2 linked regions of the Drosophila melanogaster genome follow. Changing the gene in region 1 together with any one later gene gives a genetic interaction. Each region holds a gene or a part of one and is shown in the gene's direction. Other genes may lie near its edges.

Region 1 (7,933 bases):
CTTTCTCTTCCTCTCACTCCCCCTTTCGTTTGAATTCGCTTGCTTATTCTCTCTCTCCCGCTCTGGCAAACAGACCTTGCACTTGCCTTTGCTTGTTTATTTGCGTGTTTCATTGATTAGCACACACTCACACACGCGCCGGCGAGCAAATGCAATTGCAATTTCAAGTGCAAAAAGAGAGAGGAAAAAGGAAAACAATAGCCAAAAAAGCTTTGAACTCCAGCTTTAACCCCACGACGGGCATCGAATGCAGGGACTAACCGTTAAGTGCCGAGACTTTTTGCTTTGCCTTTCTTTAACCCACTGCTGGAAACGTGCAAAAAGCTCGTCACTAGATAATAGAAACAATTTGCAGTGTCAGGAGCGCTTTCCACACATTCTGGGAAATCGCAACGGGTCTTGAATATCTAAAAGAATGCCGCAGCAAAAAAGCCCAAAACGGAAAACTGTAAAAAAAAAACAAAAACAACTACACAAGCACAACGAAGAAAATAAAACGAGATTTCTTGTGCATTGGCAGAACTGGTTTGCCCAGTAATAGGTGTTGTTGGCCTATGGGGGAACGGGAAGTACATATATGCAAGGAATCGGCCAGTTCGGGGACTCGACTTGGCTAAAAATCGATCAATTCTACTTTTGGCGAGGGGGAGGACTCCAAACATGCGCGAAAATCCACAGACATCGTCACTCGCACACACACACACACTCGCGCACGCACACCAACGCACTCGATGTGTCATCGCTTTCTGGTGGTTGTAAATAAAATGTAATCATAGTTCGTTTCTCCACTTATTTACTGATCGTCTTTTTGTTCAACACACTACTTTTTTTGTGCATAATTTGCATAACTCTTTCGCTTGTTTTTTCATTCTCTTTTCAATAACAAACACAATAACAACAACAGTTTGAACGAAAATACTGTTACGACGGCCATCTTGGATAGAGAGAGGGGGCCAAGAGAAAGAAATGTCCCAAAGGCAATATGCATAATGGGGAAAAAGGACAAATATCCAAGCGCACATATAGTATATTATATTTTCCGACTCCAACCGACATGCTTGGTACATAATGCGCGAACTAACACTTTGCCATTGGCAGTTTTGTACATATGACGTTTTTTTTTCTTCATTTCTCCCAATAGCCCATTACACGGGTTGGTTGCGAAAAATCCATTTTGCTTGGGTGTTCTATTTACAACGCGGCGACTCGGTGTTTGTTCTTATTATGCAGCGAACGTTACTTACAACAATTTAGTATTTCATATATTTATAATTACGCTTATTTATTTATGTTTAATCGAAATATACGAAAAGAATTACGCAGAAAAGTGACGAGCGGACGAAAATGCTTCGATTAGTGTGACCGCAGTGGAAGCAGCTCAAAAAACATCACGGGACTATCGATGACAGCGATTAGCTATCGATGTGACTAGGAATGTAGAAAAATGTTAATAAAAATATGTATAATAACTTCTAAATACTTTTTATATCTTATATAAGACCTAAGGACTGAAACCATTGAGTAAAGAACGAGTTGCCATAACTTAAGCCCTACTTCCATGCAAGCGCAGTGTGAACAGCTTAAAAAATTGGCGCGCTATTTAAAATGCTGATAAGGAAATGGACCTTCGTCAGCTTTTTTTTTGCGGAACCACAACGCCTATCCGTGAGTGAACAAAATGGGTTTCCAATTATTTATGCCATATAAGTATTGCTATTTATTTATAACACATCCCAATTCGATAGTCAACACTGCAGTTTGCTAATTGTAAACCGACTTTGTTGTTATCTTACACACACATTCGCGATGGGAGTAAACTTTCCTTATCACCGCTCACACAGCGCCAGAACACAACACAACCGATTTATGGAGTGCTCCCTTTGGCGCTCAGTATTCGAGAATCGCTCAGCGGAAACGGTTATTAGTTTACTGATTTTCGGGCGACACACACACATTCGTTATTCATAGTTGGTGCGCCCAAATATTCGCGAAACAGCAACAACAATTAGCAACCATCTGTCACCTGTGAGTGCAGCGTATCGTACACAATCTCAATCGCTCATTGGGAAAATTGCCGAATAATGTAAATCATTTGCCAAATTTGGGCACTCGTTGTGTGTTATCAGTGTTTGAGATTTAATCAGCCATTTTGTACGCATTACATTATATCGATATAGCCGCTATATCAGCCAATTCTATGGCTCTATAGATATATGTTAAATATGATTCAGTTTAGCAATGCTTGCTAATCCTGCGGTAGCCGATCCTCTTGGCCACATTAGCGTTTAACTGGCGAAATCGAAAGCCATTTATGAGCCAGCACCGTATGGCTGTTATCAGACCGACAACTCTGATGATTATATGCCGATGATAAAGGCCGCTTGTTCGTTTGTAAACGTTAAATTGTTATTATTGGCTTACTTGGTGTTTTGGAAAACCTCGGCGCGCTGCGATTTGTTTAAACAATCGGGCACAGACATTGGCAAATTGTCAACGTTCCATTGCCACACTTTCTGATAACCAAACCCATTAATAATGATCGGAAAGTGTCATTTTTTTTATTTGCTCCAAAGAAGAGCTGTCTTCTTCGCTTGCTTCCGTTGCCGGCAGCGACAACTGAAATTAGTAATTAGTGCTGCCAATTTGAGGGTACGGAATTCTTTCGATTAGCAAGCTCTTCGATGACGCACTCAGCATATCGGCAATATAGTCTATATATCTATATCTATATATCTATTGCTATACCCATTCCATTTGCGACTGCGTGATGGGATTGCAAACAGAGCCGCGATTCGAATTCGAGGATCGTCGTCGGCGATTCTCTGCGATTTTAGCGAATCTGTCGTTAATTTTGTTCGATTATTATTGGGTTGTCCAACAAGCCAGATTACTATCTGTATCTATATCTGCTGGCCACTTCTCCAGCCTGTGAAGTGGCTTGATAAGATTCTAGGGATCCAAAAAATCCAACAAAAAATTCAGAGAATATTGCGACATGACATTGCTGGAGTTTCCAACTTCATTCTCATGAATTTCCGCCGCATTAAAAGGCTTTGGGTGTAAGCCACGACATTGAGATAACCCCCTTTTTATTTTTTTTTTTTGGTATCTCGACCATTTCGTTTATTTTTTTACATTTTCCACTTACGTGTGGTATTTGTGAAATGATCATAAATCGCTCGCTGGAAGTTGTATGTATTACATTTAATTTTTGTTGCGCTGGTCAGCAACTCGGGGAGATCCAGAATCGTTTCCCACATCGCGAGATATGCAAAAGTTCGGCGGCCACTAATTGTTTATGACCAATCACCTTTCGTTTGCCCACGTCCAGTGAACTCTTATTTGTTGTGTTTTGTGTTTATAAACAAATGAACAGTGTGCATGCGAGCCAAGTGCTTTGCAATTGGGCGAGGTTAATGCTTCGCGGAAAATCCCGCGCAGGAACCGGTTGCATTAGCTCCCCGCCGATAACAATTTGTTATTAATAATTAATAACGCATCATTACTCACCGCAAAAAGCAGCAGAAGCAATGAGGCCCTAAGATGGAAGCCACAAATTGGAAGCAATCGCATCGAAGGATTCACGCACTAATCCTTATCCTTTGGATCGCTGGGGTGCAAGGACAAACCGTTGGTTCCCTGGTGGCAGTGAGTGAGAGCCAGGAACTGGCGGAGAGTAAGTATTACTCTTTGAAAAATAAGCATATGGATGTCACTGATAATATGATATTAATATAAGATACACTGATATAAGATACTTTTCAAATCCTAAGTGCATCCAGTTTTGTTTTAGCCTATAAAAAGCTATATGTATTACCAATATTCCAGAGGTGGAGGTGACTGTGGTTTCTACGGTCTACACACTCGGCTTTAGCATCTCCAACGAGGCGGACTACTCCATCGATAAGGTGATCTGTCGCAATGGATCCGGATCGGAAACCGAGGCCAACGCAGCGCACGTTTGGTTCGTAGAATGTTTTGAGTGAAATGATATCGCGGACTAACATAATGCCTATGATTTCCAGTGAAAACCTTAATCCTTGCACCTTCTACACATCGGTGGTTTCATTCCGTTCGAATGTCTCCGGCAAACCACCGCCTTCTGACCAAACCATCTATGCCTACACTGAATATAAGCGTATGTTTATATAAAAATGCTAACTATGAAAACCATAAACCATATCATCTTTAATCGCAGAGCCCAAGACCACAGTGACCTCAGTGGTGGCCACAGCGAACACCATCAAAGTGACCTGGCAGACGAACGACCGCGCCTGTGTGGAGTCCTTTGGCATCACGGCAAAGGCGACGGACTACACCAAATCCTTTCAGCTGCTAAACGATAAAAGTTCTCAGACTTTCGTGAATTTAAGCGCCTGCCTAACGCACACGATCACCCTGGACACGCGAAACAACGCTAGCGTTGTGGTGGACACGGATGCCACCGATGTGGACACACAGTACGCGGAGCCCGGCGATCTCGTCATGAACGTAACGAACCTAGCCAGTGGCATCACGATGATCACGTGGGGAGATCCCTCCGAGAAGAACTGCATCAGTAACTATGTCTTCAAGTGGCAACGCAACGATTGCGGAACGGATCAAAATCAGGATACCACCACGGATGTGCCCAGTACGGAAACTACGAACGAGATTGACTACGTTACCACCACACCAATGGAGACCACACCCGATACGCCCAGTGATGAAGGTAGACTCTAGGTTCCTCTTATAACCTCTTTTGAAATACATATGTGTTTTATTCTTCCCATCAGTTAAGTGCGAGTGGACCGATGTCTCCTCCGATGGCAAGCTGAGGGAGTACCTCCTGACCGATCTTCAAGGATGTGATTTGTACACCTTTCAGGTTTTCATCAACGAGAACAGCACGGCCAAGGCTTCTCAGACTTTTACTTCGGCAGAAAAGTGTGAGTGCAACTAGATAGACCAGCTATCCAAGTAAACCATAAATCACCATAATTCAAATGTTTAGTGGTCAGTGCCGTCTATGAACCCAGTCCCACCGCCTATCCCACCCAGTTGCATTGGACTTGGTTCTCTCCACAAAATCATCCCAAATGTGTGGCTAACTATAGTGTAACGCTGACCGGACCCATTCAACGATCGGAAAACAAAACTATGAATGTGATCACAGAGGAGACATTCGCTATCTTCGACGACCTTGATCCGTGTGGAATATATTTGGTGGAGATTGTGCCCAATCAGCTAAATGGAAGCGCTGGCACCAAGTACCAGGAGCAGAGCACCGTGGGCGAGGATCGTGAGTGCAAGTGCGCTTCAACTCATCCAACATCTATCTATCTACTATGATTATCTTCTTGTAGAGCCATCTGTGATTCAAGATCCCGTCGTGGAAGCAGAAGCCTACTCGATGGAGGTGAGCTGGAAGACGCCCGAGTACGCCGATCTCTGCATCGATGGCTACCGATTGTCCGGCTGGATGGAGGACGATAAGCTGGTTGAGGTTGAAGCACTTAGTATTACCACCCAGAATACGACGGTTGTTTTCGACAAGAATCTGCTGGCCTGTCAGGTGTACATCATTCAGATAATCCCATACACCAAGGAGAACCTCGATGGTCAGCTGAGACAGGTTGGTGTGGAGACCAAAGCAGCTATAGTTGATTACACTAAGGTACTAAGGACTATTTTACGTATATTTCGTATCCATTTGACCATTTCTTACTGACTGCAAGCATTTTATTGAAGGTCAAGCTGGAAATGAAGAATGCTGGCTCCGAATTTATTGATTTAATCGCCTTCAATGCGGACTACAACAATTCCTGTCCGACGATCTTTGCGCTCTTCACGTGCAATGCCACCACCCAGGTGCGAAATCCATACGCGGAGCGTTATGTGGAGGGACATAGCAAACAAGGTGGGTGTACTGGTCATCCAGTCATTCGGTATCCAGATGGCTATTCTAATTCATATTCCATTCTCAGGTTTTAATGCCAGTCTAAGTCCACTTTCCCCCTACGCCACCTACGTTTGCAAAGTAATACTCTACAATGTGGCAGGACCTTCCGAACCAGTTGTCGATGCTGATATGCACACCACAACCTACTGTAAGACCTACATTATATACATATGTATATATGAAGTTCATATGTAAGTTGATCTGTGTTTTCAGTTCCCGAGCAGCCGGAGAGTGTGATGCTGGAGAAGAGCACTGTCAGCAGCCTGCTGTTCAACTGGCAACCGCCCACCTACACAAACGGACCCATCAAGTACTACCAGGCATTCCTGATGCGTCACGAGGCCAGCTACTTTGTGCCCGCGGATTGCGCGATAGTCGAGCAGGACACCAAGTCGGAGACCAAGGGTGATCCTAGTGTAAACTTCACGGGTCTGGCTCCAGCTGTGCGATACATGATGCAAGTTGCGGCACAAAATGACTTCGGAATGGGCGTCTATACAGAACCCGTAATTGGTATCACTTTGCCAGCAGGTGAGTTAAGATGAATAGATGGAATATCTTTATATGAGTAATATGAGTAATGTAAATATTTCGTATCTTGTAGTATCCGATAGCGTGACCCAGTTGACCGTACTAACCCAGGGTCCGGTGAACAATAACGCCGTGTACGAAGCGAACGTGACTATCACGTGGAAGGTGCCCTGCAAGTCCAATGGCGATATCGAGTATTTCCAGCTGGCTTTCAATGGCACACGAAATAACTTCGCTCCAGTTTCATTTGAACGGCGGGTGGAACTGGACACGGGGAATAAGCAGGGACGGATGTCCTACACGGAAACGGAAATGCAGCCACAGTTCGACTATACGGTTGAGGTGTCCGTAAAGAATCGCGATGTGGAACAGTTGAGCAGCAGTGTACCGGGTAGCTGGCAATCGCCAGCGGGACGTAAGTATCGAAATAACGGAAAAGTAATCCGTAATCCATTGATTCCCATTCGTGTATCTTCTCTTTCAGTGCCCACCATTCCGAGTGATGAGCTTATCAAGCAAATGCGCGCCAATGTCGAGGAGACATCTAATCCAACGAAAACGGCCATTGTTCGCCTTCCAGCCGACATCATGACATCCGCATCCGGCGACATCAAGTGGATGGCACTGATGATCTCGCAAAAGAACTGTGCTGGAGTTCCACACCTCAAATACGATGTCAGCAGCGATTGGCCAAAGGTTCTATCCTATCAAGAGGCCGGCGCAGATGGCACAGGTGACTGCAGTCTGGAGTACCAAACCACCGAGGAGCGCTGGCATCCCGAACCCGTTCAACGTCAGCGAAGGGATGGAGAGGTGACATCCGATGAGGAAATTGTTTTTACCATCGGATTGGACAAGTGTTCGGAGGTTCAGAAAACGTATTGCAATGGACCTTTGTTACCAGACACGGATTACAATGTTGTGGTGAGACTGTTCACCGCATCTGGTTATAGCGATGCCGCCGTACTCAACTTTAAGACCAAGGCGGCCATCAAGGTGACCCTGATCCTGGTGAGCGTTTGCAGTTGCCTGCTGCTGGCCTTCGTACTTGGTTTGACGGTTCTCTGGGTGCGCAAGCGATTGGCCTGGTAAGTCAACGATGGCAATCTTCACGAGAGAAAAAAGAACTTAACTTCGTTTGGTGCAGGAAACGTGATTCTGGTCAGGGTATCGAGGATCCATTTGGCAATGTCATTGCCAAGAACTTTGCCATCTTTTATACCGAAGTTGCCAAGCCGGAGAAACTGGCCAGGGAGTTCAAGGAGATCACCGTTGTGGCCTTGGAGCTCAGCTATTCCGCCTCCGAATTGGGTTGCCACAAGAATCGCTATGCGGACATATTTCCTTGTGAGTAACTTCAATGTAGCAATAACCATTATGGGAAACCACATTTTTTCCCATTTAATAGATGACAAGAATCGCGTGATTCTGGACATCGATGCGGAGGGATCGGACTACATC
Region 2 (5,682 bases), 6.2 Mb from region 1:
CCCGCTCTTCGCTGCTTCCTGCGCCGCGGAAGGCGACGGCCATCTTTATCAGCCACCCCGACTCCCCACTCCTCTTCATCGTCACCCTCATCGTCACAAAAACTGGTTTCCGCTCGCCACTTTCTTTTGCTCTCTGCGCAGGCGCTCTTCGAAGACAAGAGACTTGCAGGCGATTGGTTGAATTCGTTCTGCGTTTCTATGGAGTTTGCTCCCATTCTTTTGGGGGCAGCGACCACGCCCAATGACGCTGCTCTCCTCTCTGCCGACGTCGCTGTCACTCTCTTAAGTACTAAAAAATAAAACTGAAAGTAAAGCTAAATAAAACGCTGCCATAATTGGCATCGTTAATGCCAAAACCATGAATACTAAAAAGTTTTTACGAGCATAAGCTGCGATTGAGCAGTTATTGTAGGGACAGGTTGATGGCCGAGTGTTCTAGGGAAATGAATGAATGAAGATTTTTTCTTACTACCAAAACTTCTACAACTAAGTGAAATAGACGGATTGAGTTCTACATACTTCCTACATATATTTTAGATATAGACATAGCCGAAAAGTATGCTGCACTTTTTCAATAAAAACGTAAGCAGCTACGTTATCACGCATGGCTTCATAGCAGCGATCATCTGCCAGCGAGCATAGCCAAGTTAGGCACCTGCACACATTGCCACTCTTTCCTTTAGCGTTGCCACTTCAATTTCTTTTACAAACCATCGCAGCGTGTAATCGATATTTTCTAAGCCCAATCGATGAATGTCCGGTAACGCACATCACCAATCTGTTTCTGCTGCCTCATCTTTGAATTTGACTAAAAGTGCCGATTTCCAGCTCAACGAATAGTCCAAGTCGCGCCGAATTGTACAATTAAGTTAAAAAGTTCAACGTCAACTAGTTTATCATGGCAGATTCCAAGGGGTAAGTGAACTGGACGCCGAAATAGGCGCCGACTGTGTCGGTCCAAGTCGAAATTCACAAATTTCGCTCAGTCATTGAGCCGAAAAAAATACGCAAGGGCCACATCGCAGACATACTATTATTTAATTGTGAAAGGCTTTCGCCGATTTCCGCGAGACAAAGACATTTACCGCGACTTTTCCACTGCTCGGTTGCAAAATGTTGCGAAACTAGGGCAAACCTAAAAACCGAAGAAAAAAAAACGCCAGCGAGAATCGCCATTTGCAGTACGTTGTTGTTGTTGTTGGTGTTACTGCCCTTGCAGTTGTTGTTGCCGCTTGAAAACTTACGATTTCCCTTTGTTGTCCCAAAAATACAAGTCATCCTTTGCTGGAGGATACAATTTTCCGGTTGTTGTAGTTATAACTTTGGATACGAAAAACAATACTGCATACATATATGGCAGCTATTTCTATAATAAATCGCGAAAATCCTAAACTATATGCCGAAACCACTTATTTCAATGCTACCTATTAGTAATACCTTTTTTGATATTGCATTAATTCTAGAAAAGTCTTTGTGCTCCCTCAACTCGCCAGAAGTAAAAAAAAACATATCGTTTAAGTAACAATAAATGCATAATTTACCTCAAAGTTTAGAAATTATTATAACAAATGGCGCCAAAAAAGTTGGCATCGAATACAAGAAATACAAACATACTTTTATAACTAAAGACAATAAACAATTGTACTATTATTCCGATTAATATAGATTTTTATGAACGATATAGGGTGATAACCTTTTATGTTCAAAAATCTATCAATAAAGATTGATCGACATCATCACGTTAGCAACGAAAAATGATTCGGCAGGCCTAATTATCCAGATGCTTAGTTCCATTCCGTATTACTAGTGAAAGTAGTTTCCATAAATTTATCAAAACTAACAAAAAAGGCAATCCAAAAAAACAAAAAAAAAAACAAAAAAAACAATGTCTGGCGGCAAGAACGATAAGATGGATCATGATGGGGATACGAGGGACTTTATGCGGGGATATCACAGCGAGCAGGATGAGAAAATGAAGCCGAAAGACTCGTTCGATAAGCGGTTAGGCCAAATTATATATAAGACATAAGATATTTCTTTAGCGACGAGTCTTACGCGATGCTTTTTTCTTCTACCCTACAGTGAAGATCTGGCTACGGCGATCCTGAAGCGCAAGGACCGTCCCAACCGACTGATTGTGGAAGAGGCGCAGAATGACGACAACTCTGTGGTGTCGCTATCGCAGGTAAGATTCACTCTCCCAAAGGCCACGTCATCGCATGGCTAATTCACATGACTTGGCTGTTCTTTTTCCCCCTTAAACTATATCAGGCGAAGATGGATGAGCTGCAGCTCTTCCGTGGCGACACCGTGATTCTGAAGGGCAAGCGCCGAAAGGAGACGGTGTGCATCGTGCTCTCGGACGACACCTGTCCCGACGAGAAGATCCGCATGAACCGCGTGGTGCGCAACAACCTGTGCGTCCATCTTTCAGATGTGGTTTCCGTGCAGTCCTGCCCGGACGTCAAGTACGGCAAACGGGTGCGCATCCTGCCCATCGACGAAAGCACCGAAGGCGTTACCGGCAACCTGTTCGAGATCTATCTGAAGCCGTACTTCCTAGAGGCCTATCGGCCAATCCACATGGGCGACAACTTTATTGTGCGCGCCGCCATGCGTCCTATTGAGTTCAAGGTGGTGCTGACCGACCCGGAGCCCTACTGCATCGTAGCTCCCGAGACGGTAATCTTCTGCGACGGTGATCCAATTAAGCGCGAGGAGGAGGAGGAGTCCCTAAACGCCGTTGGCTACGATGATATCGGTGGTTGCCGCAAGCAGCTGGCCCAGATCAAGGAGATGGTTGAGTTGCCTTTGCGGCATCCATCGCTCTTCAAGGCCATTGGTGTGAAGCCACCGCGTGGTATTCTTATGTACGGTCCCCCGGGTACCGGTAAGACCCTGATTGCCAGGGCTGTGGCCAACGAGACCGGAGCCTTTTTCTTCCTGATTAACGGACCGGAGATCATGTCCAAACTGGCCGGAGAGTCGGAATCGAATCTGCGCAAGGCCTTCGAGGAAGCCGAGAAAAACTCGCCGGCTATCATCTTCATCGATGAGATCGACGCTATTGCCCCCAAGCGTGACAAGACCCACGGTGAGGTGGAGCGTCGCATTGTGTCGCAGCTTTTGACCCTGATGGATGGCATGAAGAAGAGCTCCCATCTGATCGTTATGGCTGCTACCAACAGGCCCAACTCCATTGACCCGGCCCTGCGTCGCTTTGGACGTTTTGATCGTGAGATTGACATCGGCATTCCAGATGCCACTGGACGGCTGGAGGTGCTGCGCATTCACACCAAGAACATGAAGCTGCATGATGATGTTGACCTGGAGCAGATTGCTGCCGAATCCCACGGACATGTGGGCGCTGATCTGGCTTCACTCTGCTCTGAGGCTGCCCTTCAGCAAATCCGTGAGAAGATGGACCTCATCGATTTGGAAGACGATAAGATCGATGCCGAGGTGCTGGCGTCGCTGGCCGTGACAATGGAGAACTTCCGCTACGCTATGACCAAGTCCAGTCCATCGGCGCTGCGTGAAACTGTTGTTGAGGTGCCCAACACCACCTGGACAGACATCGGAGGTCTGGAGAGCGTCAAGAAGGAATTGCAGGAGCTGGTGCAATACCCAGTGGAGCATCCGGACAAGTTCTTGAAGTTTGGCATGCAGCCCAGTCGCGGTGTCCTTTTCTACGGACCCCCTGGTTGCGGTAAGACGCTGCTGGCCAAGGCCATTGCCAACGAGTGCCAGGCGAACTTCATCTCAGTCAAGGGTCCCGAACTGCTGACCATGTGGTTCGGCGAGTCTGAGGCCAACGTGCGCGACATCTTCGATAAGGCCCGCTCGGCGGCTCCTTGTGTGCTCTTCTTCGACGAGCTGGACTCGATCGCCAAAGCCCGTGGCGGTAATGTCGGCGATGCTGGCGGCGCCGCTGATCGTGTGATCAATCAGATCCTTACCGAAATGGATGGCATGGGAGCCAAGAAGAATGTGTTCATCATCGGAGCCACCAATCGCCCGGACATTATCGATCCGGCCATCCTCCGTCCGGGCCGTCTGGATCAGTTGATCTATATTCCGCTGCCCGACGACAAATCGCGTGAGGCTATCCTGAAGGCTAACTTGCGCAAGTCGCCGCTGGCCAAGGAAGTAGACCTTACCTACATCGCCAAGGTGACGCAGGGCTTCTCTGGCGCCGATCTGACCGAGATCTGCCAGCGGGCTTGCAAGCTGGCCATCCGACAGGCCATCGAGGCTGAAATTCGTCGCGAGAAGGAGCGCGCCGAAAATCAGAACTCCGCGATGGACGTAAGTCATTTAGCTTAGCGCAAAAAATAAGAATGTTTATGTTTGACTATTTACCCATATAATCAGATGGACGAGGACGATCCAGTGCCGGAGATTACTAGCGCCCACTTCGAGGAGGCCATGAAGTTCGCTCGCCGTTCGGTGTCCGATAATGACATCAGGAAGTACGAGATGTTTGCCCAGACTTTGCAGCAGTCCCGTGGATTCGGACAGAACTTCAGGTGAGAATTGAAAGGCATTTCTTGTTGGAATCCAGGTTACTGATGATAGTGTATATGTTATTGCAGATTCCCCGGTCAAACCGGCAACACCTCAGGATCTGGTAACAACTTGCCAGTTAACTCGCCCGGCGACAACGGCGACGATGATCTTTACAGTTAGATTTCTAGTTTTACACCGCAAAACAAAACCACAAAATGGAACTTTTTAAATGAATTTTTTCCGTAAAACCGAGCAAGCAAAACCAATCACATTCGCATCCTGGACGCGGTAACTTACTACAGCAACCATTGGCTAAGACATCCAGCCGATGGCGAAATCAGATGACATACCCGATTCAATATTCACTTCTTTGATACCATCCTTACTCTTGGTCGCGGATACGTGCAGTAGGAGAAGGTTCCCATTTGGATTTGGGCTCGCCTAATCCGAAACCATTTTAATTGGCGAACTATTCCGCGCCTCACACTAATCATTCGTGCATTGTCGGTAGAGTGGCTCCGATATATGAGTTTCTATAAACATAATTATTAACGATACACATACACACATACATTTAAAGATAAATACATATATTAAACACCGTAAAATTATAAGTGTATTTGGAGCTACATTTTTAAGTGAATAAAAATTATAAATTCAACAAAATCATGTGCTTTAAATTGAAGAAATATTGAAAAATAGACGCAACGAGGTAATTGGGTGTTGAGATTAAAGAGCAAGAGTTACATAATCAATTATTTATTTTTGATAAGGTTCACTAGCAAAGTGGAACGTTGCTTTATTTTAACTGATCATTGGCCACAGTGCAATAAAATGCGTAATAAATTAAATTGGTCGGTACTCGTATGAGTGCAGTGAAAAAATATGTCTTCGTGCCTCGATTTCTGCAAGTCCAATTTAGTCATCAAGAGTACTAACCAAATCCATACTGTTCCCATTTGAAAATATCATTTCATTTGTTTTATCGCATTTATTAAACTTGTATTAATTCGTCATGTTTGCTTTTTCTGGTTTTCAATTGTTTTTTCACTTTTATTTTTATTAATTCTTTGCGACATAACAAGGACATCTTAATATGAAGTTAGTTGAATTCTTTCATATTTAAATAATCATTATCGCTTCGGTCTTATAAATAAACTTTCTTTGCCATTC

What was found. Genes that interact genetically often act in the same process or in processes that back each other up.
Region 2: of Ptp52F (region 1) and TER94, changing one suppresses a phenotype caused by changing the other (phenotypic suppression), as found in Drosophila melanogaster (one study listed by BioGRID).

What each region holds. Positions count from the first base shown.
Region 1 is NT_033778.4:16,172,264-16,180,196, reverse strand, and holds the start of Ptp52F (protein tyrosine phosphatase 52F), read left to right. Parts: upstream 1-1,889; 5' UTR 1,890-2,025; intron 2,026-3,522; 5' UTR 3,523-3,543; coding exon 3,544-3,676; intron 3,677-3,828; coding exon 3,829-3,964; intron 3,965-4,025; coding exon 4,026-4,138; intron 4,139-4,198; coding exon 4,199-4,711; intron 4,712-4,775; coding exon 4,776-4,928; intron 4,929-4,993; coding exon 4,994-5,281; intron 5,282-5,345; coding exon 5,346-5,656; intron 5,657-5,730; coding exon 5,731-5,899; intron 5,900-5,966; coding exon 5,967-6,089; intron 6,090-6,154; coding exon 6,155-6,472; intron 6,473-6,545; coding exon 6,546-6,887; intron 6,888-6,956; coding exon 6,957-7,560; intron 7,561-7,619; coding exon 7,620-7,819; intron 7,820-7,880; coding exon 7,881-7,933.
Region 2 is NT_033778.4:9,988,389-9,994,070, forward strand, and holds TER94 (transitional endoplasmic reticulum 94), read left to right. Parts: upstream 1-1,814; 5' UTR 1,815-1,909; coding exon 1,910-2,001; intron 2,002-2,082; coding exon 2,083-2,185; intron 2,186-2,271; coding exon 2,272-4,308; intron 4,309-4,374; coding exon 4,375-4,529; intron 4,530-4,595; coding exon 4,596-4,689; 3' UTR 4,690-5,171; downstream 5,172-5,682.